Tribolium castaneum: one gene and its partners. The protein of the gene in region 2 purifies or fractionates together with the protein of the main gene of each other region. This does not show direct contact. Links are inferred from orthologs where the notes say so. Each region holds a gene or a part of one and is shown on either strand. Other genes may lie near its edges.

What was found. The genes of interacting proteins can lie anywhere in the genome.
Region 1: the proteins of ValRS (region 2) and probable elongation factor 1-delta purify together in Homo sapiens (affinity purification with mass spectrometry; 5 studies listed by BioGRID and IntAct, counting the BioPlex papers as one, with this or other methods). This does not show direct contact. The link is inferred for Tribolium castaneum from reciprocal best matches to the Homo sapiens genes VARS1 and EEF1D.
Region 3: the proteins of ValRS (region 2) and eEF1gamma purify together in Homo sapiens (affinity purification with mass spectrometry; 6 studies listed by BioGRID and IntAct, counting the BioPlex papers as one, with this or other methods). This does not show direct contact. The link is inferred for Tribolium castaneum from reciprocal best matches to the Homo sapiens genes VARS1 and EEF1G.

What each region holds. Positions count from the first base shown.
Region 1 is NC_087403.1:8,552,738-8,556,860, reverse strand, and holds the start of probable elongation factor 1-delta, read left to right. Parts: upstream 1-1,257; 5' UTR 1,258-1,414; intron 1,415-1,529; exon of another isoform or gene 1,530-1,535; 5' UTR 1,536-1,540; coding exon 1,541-1,627; intron 1,628-1,839; coding exon 1,840-1,917; intron 1,918-2,006; coding exon 2,007-2,085; intron 2,086-2,131; coding exon 2,132-2,353; intron 2,354-4,123. Other genes in the region: uncharacterized protein CycE, read left to right, coding at 183-400, 452-691.
Region 2 is NC_087394.1:5,060,699-5,064,715, forward strand, and holds the start of ValRS (valine--tRNA ligase), read left to right. Parts: upstream 1-1,167; 5' UTR 1,168-1,409; coding exon 1,410-1,562; intron 1,563-1,614; coding exon 1,615-1,788; intron 1,789-2,049; coding exon 2,050-2,177; intron 2,178-2,231; coding exon 2,232-2,396; intron 2,397-4,017. Other genes in the region: uncharacterized protein LOC103313614, read left to right, coding at 1-47. UniProt on the Homo sapiens protein: Catalyzes the attachment of valine to tRNA(Val).
Region 3 is NC_087402.1:7,326,634-7,330,774, reverse strand, and holds eEF1gamma (elongation factor 1-gamma), read left to right. Parts: upstream 1-1,275; 5' UTR 1,276-1,424; coding exon 1,425-1,436; intron 1,437-1,554; coding exon 1,555-1,704; intron 1,705-1,759; coding exon 1,760-1,975; intron 1,976-2,173; coding exon 2,174-2,468; intron 2,469-2,883; coding exon 2,884-2,931; intron 2,932-2,983; coding exon 2,984-3,444; intron 3,445-3,491; coding exon 3,492-3,647; 3' UTR 3,648-3,768; downstream 3,769-4,141. Other genes in the region: putative lipid scramblase CLPTM1, read right to left, coding at 1-49; cnir (protein cornichon homolog 4), read right to left, coding at 3,799-3,865, 3,916-4,141. UniProt on the Homo sapiens protein: Probably plays a role in anchoring the complex to other cellular components.

The DNA.
Region 1 (4,123 bases), on a different chromosome or scaffold from region 2:
TGAGTTTTTTTTATGAATCACTACTGTTTATTTTACATTTTTGGAGCTTTTAATGCTAATTATGTTGATGTAAATTTCTGTGCTTAGTTTTTGAAATCAAATTTTTTCGATGAAAAAATTAAAGAGAAAAGTTCAAACTTAAGCAGAAGTAAGATTATCAAAAAGTTAATAACAATTTATAGGTTTCGATTGGTCGCAACTGGAGCCTTGCGTCGACTACATGGAGGTGTTCTACATAATTATTAAAGACGCCCCCGATCCGCGTCTGTACTCCTGTCTCGGTGGCCCTCATCCCGAGGAAATGAGCCGACTTTCGGCCGGGCTTCTCCGCCGGGTGCAATCGGGACCCCAAAGTGAAAATTACTCGTTTCAAACCCACATTGCCAGCATGGAGTACTTTGTTAGTATTGTTTGACTTTGTTTTTGTGTTTTTCTAAACAAATCTGTTTAGGAGACAGCAACAATCTACAGATTGAATAAATTACGGCCTTCTACTGCTAATGAAGATACCACAAGTGTTCCTGCAACAGAGGAAAACAATGAAACGGTTGATTTGACTGAAGAACTTGAGAATTTAACGGAGCTGGCAAAAGAGGATGCCAGCGCTACTACTGTTGACCACAATTTGATGACTTTGGACGAAATTTTTGAGCTTATTTTAGGCCAAGAAGGGAGTAAGGATTCTAGTTAGGGGTTTATGTTGTTACTATTGTTCGTAACTAGTTAAGATGTGTATTTTATGACTTGTTCTTAAGTGTTAGTTTCCTCGTTCGTATTATTTATCTCACTACACTAGTGCCTTTTCTAAACTGTGATCAATAGTTTTAAATATTGAGATCTATTTGTAAAGAAGCGTTGTAACCTTTGTAAATTTTTGCTAAACATTTCACTTCAATTTTAGTCATAGACAAATCATATTTATTAGCATAAATTAGTCAATTGTAATATATTCGATTTTAACTTAATTGTTTTAGCGTGACGCGAGATCTATGATGTAACTTTTATAGCGTTTGGTGTCGTTCCAGTTTTAGTCAAGCAAATTGTTTTGGATTATTTTAATCGTAATTTAGAGTCTTGTAGTCACTTAAAAAGACTGTATTTTATACATATTTTTGTATATTTGGAATTTGAAATAAACTGTTTTGGTACTACTTGAGTTTGGGGAATGGCTGCTTGCCCAAATAAAAATTTTGCAAAAAATGACATCTGGTATTCTTTTAGAGATAAGTCCTTGAGTTTAGGTTTTAATCGAAACACTTGGAAATATTTAAACATATTTGAATCAAATGTGTTCCCGGGTCTGGGGATTTTATTTTTTGTGTTGGCGACCCTGTCGACATAACCTTTTCGAGAACAGCTGTCTCCCCATATAACAGAGTACAAGAAATCTATTAAAAAACAGCAAAAATTCTAGGTAATTTTTGTAGGCGTAGTTAGCCAAAGTCAAGATTGAATTTGTTAGTAGTTATTTGATAGTCTTGACTGTGTTTGTTTCAAAATTACGACACGTGTGTTCTAACCTGAAATACTTTTAGCCGCAATGGAGTACATGCAATACGAGAATATTTGGCTCACCAAATCAATTTACGAGGACGCAGAGACAAAGTATTACGAGAACTTGGCAAAGGTAAGTGGCTAGAACAGTGAAACCGTGCAAAAATAAAACCGTTTAGAGTAGTATTCAATTCGCTTCCATTTCTTCAAAATCTAACAAAATTCATATGGAAAATCGGCAAAAGTATTGTTCTTGTCTAGGTGACACTTGTCCTACTAATTGGGTGTTTATTTTCGAGTACGAGACGTACTGGTATTAACATAATGGTGTTCTGTTTGGTGTAGGCGTCCGTAACTCCTTTGGCGGGCGAAGTTGCCAAGGCGCGACAACTTCTTATTCAAAGTAGGGATTCTTTTAAAGATGTGAGTAAAGGCTTGACTTAACCCATTTGCATCCCATACTAACCCATCAATCTTTCAATGACCAATTGTCTTACGGCTCAAAATTACAGGCCCCTGCGTCCGAGACCCAATCCACTGATCACGGCGCGATCAAATTCTTCGAGAAAAAGGCCGTCGAATTTGAGAAAAGTACGCTTTATAACCACTCAAACCCAAATTAATAATTATTCCACAGCTATTAACGCGATGGTGGAGAGCATAAAACAGCTAGAATTGCGTCTTTCCAAAGTCGAGAAAAGCGTCAATTCCGCTCCCAAACCTGCACCAGCCCCGAAACCCGCCGCTGACGACGACGACGACGTCGATCTGTTCGGCTCCGAATCCGAGGAGGAGAACGAAGCCGCCGCCAAGCTGAGGGAGGAGCGTCTGGCTGCTTACAACGCGAAAAAGTCTAAAAGTAAACGCAATAACAATTTCACTATTGACAAATTGGTTCATATTTGAGTCGTGTAGATGCAAAACCAGCTGTATGGTTTTTGCATTTTTAACTTTTTTTTATTTGACTAACAGTGACTGATTTATCAGTTAAATGTTAACAGATGTATTACATCTATTAACAGTGTAGGAAAACATTGATCGTAAGCCGTTTTTATAAGAACGTTTTTCGGTTCTATCATAATATGATTGCAACTTCGAATTTCAAGAATATAGATAGATAGATAGATATCTGGTTTATTATGTTCAAAATTTATTCAAAATTTTACATTCGTCAATATTAAGTACAGTAGGGTGATTTGAAAATGTCATGGCAATAAACCTCGGTTTGGGATCGGTAGGTACTCCGACCTCAAACGACATAATTTTACTTTTCAATTTGAATCCAATTGCTTAAAATAAAAATAAGAAAAGATGGCTCCAGTTAAAAACAAAACTATGTTTTATTTGCAAATTTTAGCAGATATTTGTTTACAGTTTGTCACTTCGGTAATTGTGTTTGTGTTTTATTCTCCATAGGGAGAATAAATTATTTAGCAATGCGAATTAAATATCATCTTTATTGAAATTGGTTTCATCGGCTAAGGGTTTTGACGGTTAAATTTACTAGTTGAAATAGAAGAATTACAGAGTGGACCAAAAAGTAAATTCACCTCTGCCGTTTTGTCAATAATTTTAAAATATACACTAATTTTTATAATTCCAGTTCAGCGATTCTCAAAATTTAGGAATTTAGCTTCAGAATGATTTTTTGGGAATATACCTAATCGATTTGTTTTGCCATTCTTTATCTACCTTCAAATTTTTGCTAAACCATTTCTTAACACGCTGTATAGATACTGTAAAGCAGTGCTGATGACGTTTGTGAAGATTTCAGTGTTGTTAAACGATTTAAAAAAATACGACAAAAAGGAGGTGTGACAAAGACTCTAACAACGATCAAAAGTGACAAAGAATATTTTTTCAAAAATATATTTTTATATTTTACCCTGTATTTTGTGCAGCAATTCGGCTGTGTGCTTTTTTGAGTTTCCATAATTTGGTGTTTAATTACTTGATAATCTAGAGTGTGCAAATCTGCTTCTTCATCAATAAGTCGACTATGGAATCTAAATTCAATACCGCTTCGTTCAAATGACTGCTGTAGTTTCTGAGTACTTACTGTCATCTCTGTAAGATCTGTTAATTAGTTGTTTTTTCATTTTTTTTAGGCAATGTTGTTTCAATTGTATCGTTTGTCTTTATTTGTGTTTTACGTTTTTGTATTTTCTTGTGTATGTTCTGTAGTTTCTAAGTTTGAAGCGCTTTTGCTTTTGTTTGCCAGCATTCAAAATTTTGATTCAACGACACATCGCGTCTAACAGTCATAGATGACCTTTATAATAATTTGTTTTGCTATTCTACTAGATCTTAAGCCTATTTAATTAAGACAAACAATATTTTAGTCTGCGAGGGTAGAGTTTAAAAACCTACATTTCTTTAACATTTTAAATAGCTCTCTCTACTTTTTGAAACATTTTTGGATGGGAGGCAATAAAGTTAAGCGTGGAGAAAACTAATATTTGTTGACTTTTTTTAGTTAGGGGTAGCTTCAAAAAGCAGGGGGTTTCATTTAAAATTTCTAATTAAGGATGGTTAATTTCTAGGGGATGATGTATGTTAAGAATTCTACTCTATCTTTAGCACAAGAGGGTAGAGGGTGGTTTGGGCCGACAAAGGCCCAGAATTGGGA
Region 2 (4,017 bases):
ACTCCCCGAGTTCATGGCTGCAGTCTTTAAGTAGTAATTTTTTATAAAACAGGTTTTTACAATTCTTTATAAGGTTGCCTTTCTTGTTATATACTTTTATCTTACATAGCTATTGTAATAGTATTGAGTTAAATAAAATATTTTTTTACAAGAACCGAGGGTTTTGTCAAAACCTTGACACTAGTATAGAGTTATAACTAGAGACCGGATTTTTACGTGTCAAAATTACTGTTACAGGAAAAATAAAAACAATTTTTATTGCAATAAATTTCACCACAAAAACAAACACGTCAAAAACTTAAAATTGTCTGTTAGACAAAAAAATTAATTAACTGTTAAATCTAAATATTGTTCTAAATTTGCTGTTTTCTGTAAGAATTCTTCTCAACCTAGAAAATGACCAAACTGTACGGACATACATATTAGTACTAAAATCAGGCACCTCTGCATTTTCAATATATTTTCATTCAATTAGCATTTTTATTTCTTCAATAGATTTTTATTTTCAGAATTTTTTGTATAGTTTGTCATTAAATAATTTTTTCCACAATTGGGATAAAAAAATTTTTTATCATTGTTTTGACAACAATTTTGTTATGCAAATTTTTGTTATAAGTGTCTTTTTTATTGCTGTATCAATGGCCAAAAGGGCATTGTGTGACAAAACCTATTTTGGGATGAAATGGGATATTGTATTTTTGGAGCTAGAAAATTTTATTTTTTTTTAACATTGTTCCGACAACAGTTTTGTTATGCAATTTTTTGTAATAAGTGTCTTTTTTATTGCTGTATCAACGTCCAAAAGGGCATTGTGTGATAAAACCTGTTTATGAGTGAAATGGGATAAAAATTGGGATAATACATTTCTGGACGCAGTAAAGTTTGTTTCTTTAATATCATTTTTTTAATGATAAATGATGATGACAATGATAAAATTTTATGTAAAAATGTGAATGAATATAATGAAATTTAAATTTAACAAGATTTTTCAATTCAGCAAAATTCAATGGCTAAAAGGTCATTGTGTGACAAAACTGATTTCGGGGTAAAGTGGGGTGAAAACTCAGTCTGTGTAGTGTAAAAGTTGCTCCTTTAATCATTAACAATTTTTTTCCTTTTTTTCAGTTTTTTATTTAACTCTTTAAAGCAGGCAACCAACCATACATTTCCAAAATTGAATCTTATTTTGTTGGTGTGGTGTGATTTGGGTCAATTTTGGTTCATGGGTATTATTAATTTAATAAACCTCCCATTTGATTAACTCAAAACGTTGGGTCGTGCCTCCAAAAACCATTTTTCTAAAAATCACCAGTTGGCAAATTTGAGGTTATCGCAGGTTGGCTTTTGACGTCACTTGCCTGTCAAATTACAATTTCACAACGTGCTCTGTGTTCACGAAACCGTGGACGATGTGTGACGAAGCAGTGCTCCAAAATGGGGCTTTGGCCCCCCCGAAAACAGCCAAGCAGTTGGAGAAAGAGGCCAAAAAACAGGCAAAGTTGGACAAGTTGAAGCAAAAGTTGGAGAAGCAGCAAAACGCGGCACCGAAGAAGGAGGCTGAGGTAAGGGTGAATGATGCAACATATGTGCGGTGACGCGAGGGTTTTTTTGCAGAAGAAAGAGAAGAAGAAGGAGGTGAAGGAGGCTGCTGTTTATAATATAGCGACACCAGAGGGTGACAAGAAGGATATCAGTGGGGCTTTGCCCGATGCTTATAGCCCCCAGTTTGTCGAGGCGGCGTGGTACTCCTGGTGGGAGAAACAGGGCTTTTTCAAGCCGGAATATGGGGTAATTATAATTAAGATACGGAGTGATCAAGAATGAATGTTTGGGTTGGTAGCATTGGTTTCTTGGCAGTTTGCAACACTGTTGGAAAAATACAGCAAAATTAATTAGACATAGAATAACATTTTTCAGACTTGTTTGAAATGTTTCGGGAAAAAAATATGTATGTAACTCATTGTTACTCAATTTTTTCGTGATTCAAGGACTGATAGAATAATTTCGTTAGTCATCATTTTTGATATCTAGAACTCAATATAATTACAGAGAAAGTCAATCGCTGAACCCAACCCTAGAGGCAAATTTGTAATTGTAATTCCACCTCCAAACGTCACCGGATCGCTCCATTTAGGTCATGCTTTGACCAATGCGATTCAAGATTCCATTGTTCGATGGTAATATCTCACTAAAACTAAAATGAAAAATTAATCGTTTTTTTTTTAAATTAGGCATAGAATGAGAGGTGAGACAACTTTGTGGAACCCTGGCTGTGATCATGCCGGAATTGCTACTCAAGTGGTAGTAGAAAAAAAATTATGGCGAAACGAGAAAAAAACACGACATGATATTGGACGTGAAGGGTTTATTAGCAAAGTTTGGGAATGGAAGGAGGAGTAAGTAATTTTCCTACTTTTCGAGAACATTTTCCTTTGAATTAAACTAAAATTGTAAGATTTTTCAACTTGGAGATTATTTAACCAATATTTTTACTAGGCTTCAAAGAATTGCAAAATCAGTTCGAGAATGTACTTTCGTGCTTTAGCATATTTTTCAGTCAGAAGTTTCGGTGAAACAAGGAGGTTAAATATTTGGTGTAATCGTTGCCTTGTTTTTTCGAGGCTCTATTGCCTGAAAAAATCATAATAAACGTAAAAACAGCTAAAAATCATTGGATTCAGACAAAAATCGTCGAAATGTCGATAATTTTCGAGCATCTGTGCAAGTTTTTATGCCAAGTACTTTCAAGCTCATTATTGCGCTAAAATCAAAGTTTTTTCGAAAGAAAGATGAAAATAGTAAATTTCCCCTTTTTTCCAATGTTTTTGAGGTAAATACGTATTTTTTTTACAAGAAACACCAAATTACATCAAAATTGACGTTATAGATATGCTCTTATATTATTTGTTTCAAAAATTTTTTTTCAGAAAAGGTGAGATTTCTATAATTTGTAAAAGAAGTCTTCGTTTAGTTTTTAAAAATGTTTTTTTTCTGTTTTTTGTTCATTATCCCTATAAAATTTTTAGTTTTCTTCTACAAAATTAGTTTATTTTTTTGAGTATTCTCAAGTGATTTGGCTTGTTTTTAAGCGAGGAATCGTTGAAAATCTATGTAAAAAACTTACAAAAACACAAAATTAGTGATTTTTGGAATAATTCTGGTCAGATGTCCTATTTTGATTTTGGTGATATCTCAACTCAGGTTAATAAAACTTCGTGAAAAAACTGTATTTTTATTTTAAAAATGTACTTAAATGCTCAGTAAAATGGAAAATAATGGTTTGGTATTTTTTCCGGCATAATTTTTGACATTTTTAAGTGTTTTTACACCTTGTTCAACCAGAAACGCATGTTTTTGGAAAATTCCTGTTCAGCAAGCCAGAAAAAATTGATTGTAAATTGAAAATGGTGTCCCTAATTTACTACTTTTTCGATTTTTTTGACCAAAAAAATTTTTTCACTGTAATAGGTCGAAAAATTACCAAATGACAATATTGTACAATGGACATAAAAACAGTACGAAGAATATCTGAATTCTTGGCTTATTTTTGACGAAATTGCTTGAAATAATCGTTAAAACGCTCGAAGGAAGGAAGCATTTTCTTATTTTTTACTTAATTTATTGATTTTTTGGTCAGATTTACTGAAATTTCACTTTTTACTTTAAACTTGTTAAGTGTACCGAAAAGGTAAATATAACACAATTTTCAACACAATTTGGCGCTTTTGTGGCTTATTTTTAAGGAAGTTGTTCGAAATAACTTCGAAAAATATTATTTTTGACCTAATTTTCTGATCAATCATGCGAAAAAACAAAGATTTTCGCTTAAAAATATGCTAAAGACATCGAGAAAGGCCGAGAAAACCATTTTTAATGGTAAGTCGGTTAATTTTTGACGAAGTTTATTAATTTTTTCTTAAGTTTACTGAAATTTTACTTTTTTAACTTAAGAATGTTTTTAAAAATTAGTTTATTTTTTTGTATATTCTCAAGTGATTTGGCTTGTTTTTAAGCGAG
Region 3 (4,141 bases), on a different chromosome or scaffold from region 2:
CCACTTGGCCGTTGGCTGACGGATTATTCTCGGCTTGGGGATCAGCCATTTCGTGTCAATTTCTCAATTCTTTTGAAATTTAATTAATCATTGACCACATCACATGAACGAAATGACTTTTCGTTTTGAATTTTATGAGGTTGGTATCGGTAATGAGTCGTGGTTAGGGCAGGGTAGCCAACGCGAACAGCGGACAGGGCCGGGCTCAGGCAACTTTTATACAAAATATCCTTAATCTCTGTTCATCTAACAATCACCAAAAACATAAATTAATCGCACAACCAAAGTTACAAATAAAATAAAAAAATAATAGTGTTTATTCAATAAAACAAACACAGAAGAAAAATTCGACTTGACATTTTCCAAAGCACTCTTCGCAAAAATGATTTCTTGCATGTAAGATTCAATCATATCACGTGATGATACATCGTTGTCATCAGAAGTAAAAACACTTATAACAAATACGAAATGCAAATGTGGCATTCATAAGAATACCCAAAGTTGAGTGTTGCAACTCTGTAATCAAGAACGCCTTGGAAAAAATGACGAAGGATTTAGATTTTTTTGTAAAAATTGCCTGAAGAATGTTCTACTTTTTCTTTGGTATTTGCTTGTAAAAAAAAAAAAACAAAAATTAGAAATTTTTGTGTTATTTTTTTAGTAATTCAAAAAAAACGACACCAAATTTTTTTTAGATAATTGAACAGGCTGTAAAAACAGAGTAAAAAGTACTATATTTTGGCTTTAGTTTTTTAAAACTTTCCAAAGTATGGCAAAAAATGTCTCTCTGTTAATAAAAAGTGTTTATTTTTAAATATTTATATTTTTTTTCTTCTTTTCTGAATTAACTAATAAATGTTTTTTTCTTTTTTAAAGACTATGTCATAGGCAGAAAAGCCCAAAGTTAAGTACCCCGAGGCGGCAATGCACCTAAATACGTTACTATGTGGAATTATCAAGTATTTTTTATTTATTCAAGGAACAAAGATACCACGCGATCATCGGAATTTATAATTAGAATAGACGTTTTTTTTGTATATAATGTGTATATAATTGATAGACAGGTGCATTTAGTTCTTCAGCTTAATTAATTATTATAATCAGCGTTTTCTTGGTTTTCATACAAGATAAAAAGTACCTTATAAAGCCTACTAGAAAATAGGCATTTAATCCTTTAGGGCAGAAAGTCTAAGTACGGTTCTGTTATTTTTAGTGGGCCTTTTTAAAGAAAAAAAATAATTTGTATAATTCCTGGAAGATGTGTGCAATTTAGTGTTGTTTTTTGCACAAAAGCGGGCATTTCGAGGCTGTAAAAATCGAAAAAAAAAGGCCTAAGCCCGACACGTCACCAGACCGCAAGCCCAAAATTCCCTATGCAGCTGTCAAACTCTTCAAGTCCTTTTCTGTGAGAAATTGGACGAGCAATGGCTGCAGGAGTAAGTATTATCGAAATTTCCTCAAATATCTCGCATTTATGACACAATCATCGGCAGAAAACCGTTGAATAACCCAAATCCGGCATTATCTTTGACAGTTTTGTGTTTATTTTTTCAGACACTGTACACCTATCCCGACAATTTCCGTGCTGCTAAGGCTTTAATCGCTGCCCAGTACTCCAAAAGCAATGTTAAAGTAAGCCCAAACTTTGTGTTCGGTGAAACCAACAAGTCGAAAGAATTCTTAAAGAAATTTCCCAGTGGAAAGGTGAGTCTGGACGCGCTTCAAAATTGAGGTTAAGTCACACTGGACAGTTGTATAGGTGCCAGCTTTCGAGTCAAACGATGGCAAGTATCTGCAAGACAGCAACGCAATTGCTTACTACGTCGCCAATGAACAATTGAGAGGCAAGTCGGAGTACGAGAAAGCCCAGATTTTGCAATGGGTGGGCTTTGGAGAGTCGGAGATACTCCCAGCTGGCTGTGCCTGGGTGTTCCCCATTTTGGGGGTTGTCAAGAAGAACGCCGCCACTGAGGAGGTAAATTACGTATTTTCTCGCGTCCTCCTTCAAAGGCAAATTAACCAATCCGGTTGGTTGATTTGTAACTCAAGGAGGTATATTAAGACAATTACCCATTACTGAGTGTCTCGGTGGCGCTCAGTTAAGTTATATTATTGTAACAAGTGATTTTCGCCCAGTTTTGTCACTAGACTGACCCAGTTTTCGTGATTCTAGGGATATGCAAGAGCCAAGGAGGACATGAGGGCTGCTCTGGCAATCCTAGACAGCCATTTGCTTACCCGTACTTATCTAGTTGGGGAACGTATCACTTTAGCTGATATTGTTGTAGCTTGCAATCTTTCAAATTTATACAAATATGCGTTCGATCCCGACTTTAGAAAACCATTCGTCAACGTTAACAGATGGTTCACAACTTTAATCAACCAACCTCAGTTTAAGGCCGTTTTGGGCCAGGTGCAATTTTTGGACAAAGTTGCACAACCTTTCACCGGCGCGCAGGGAGGTGAAGGTAAGCCAAAGTTTTTTTAACGGTTCAAATGATCAGTATTTAATTCTTTTGCTGCATAAAATTCTATGAGTAAATGGTCTTGTTTATAATGTATACCGTACTATGGAGAGTTAAATACTAGGAAGCAAACGTCGGTACTAACTCGATTTCTGTTTCCTAACGTTAGTGTGTAATAGTTGTTTACCTAACGAGTTTGGAAAGTGCAAAAAGTCCGGGGACTTTTTTTATATTCCTAGACTTTTTTTGTCTTCAACAGTATTTCTAGTATTTTGATAAATATGCGACGGTGTTCAAAGCAATTATCGCAATAAATGTGTTGCATCCTAGTGTCCATATGCTGCACATAATGGATTAAGTACTGTTCAGTTTATTGCAACCTGTGTTAAATCCCTTAACCCAAAAATAATTTTACAAGCTGCTAATACTAACAGTATTGTTGCGGAGAAAAATAATAAAAAGAAGAGTAAGTTAAGTGTGGTTTTATTCGTCTTGCTTAGTTGCTTTTCCACCAACAGGTAAGAACAAAAAGAAAGAGGAGAAAAAAGAGAAGAAGCAGCAGCAGCAGCCTAAAAAGGAAACACCAAAAAAGGAGAAAGAGCCCGTTGAAGAAATGGATGCGGCTGAAGCAGCGCTCGCTGCCGAGCCCAAATCGAAGGACCCCTTTGAATCCATGCCCAAAGGGACGTTCAATATGGACGATTTCAAGAGATTTTATTCTAACGAAGATGAAGCCAAATCAATTCCGTATTTCTGGGAGAAGTTCGATCCTGAAAACTACACTATTTGGTACGGGGAATATAAGTACCCTGAAGAGCTCACTAAGATTTTTATGAGCTGCAATTTGATCACCGGAATGTATCAGAGATTGGATAAAATGCGCAAACAAGCCTTTGCCTCAGTTTGTCTTTTTGGTGAGGACAATAACAGTTCAATCTCCGGGATTTGGGTGTGGAGGGGCCACGACCTCGCATTCACTGTACGTTGATTCTGTGTTTTTAAAATTGGTTTGATTGAGTTTTGTAGTTGAGTCCTGACTGGCAAATCGACTACGAGTCGTATGATTGGAAGAAATTGGATGCAAAATCAGAAGAGACTAAAAAATTAGTTGCCCAATACTTCTCATGGACTGGCACTGACAAAAAGGGAAGGAAGTTTAACCAGGGCAAAATCTTTAAGTAAAACCTGAGGTGTAATATATTTTTTTTACAACCATGTCCTTTTGATAATTTAATTTAAATCCATCGTTTGTCAGTTGTTTAACCCTAACTGTTTTTCTTTCAATAAAACGCTTTGAGGATAATTTATGTTTTATTTGAATAAACCTATTACACTATAAGTCGGCTTCAAACTGATCGTCTCTGTTGAGGGGATCACCTTTCAACAAAGCCACAATCATGCTAAAAATAAACAAGTTGCGCAATGTTTGATATAAATAGACACAACTCACCAGTACAGATACGCAAAAAAGAACAGTAAATAATATCCTAAATAAATCATACAGTCCCTCATATGCTTCTTTAATTGACCTCTATTGTGAATCTCTGTGGGGTCATAGATCCCCAAATTTCCACTTGGCACTGATACTAACTCATACACCATCCAAAATGCCATTGGCAAGTTTAGCAGTGCTAAAATCCAATGGCCGTGAATTAAAAACAGAAACGATAAAAACC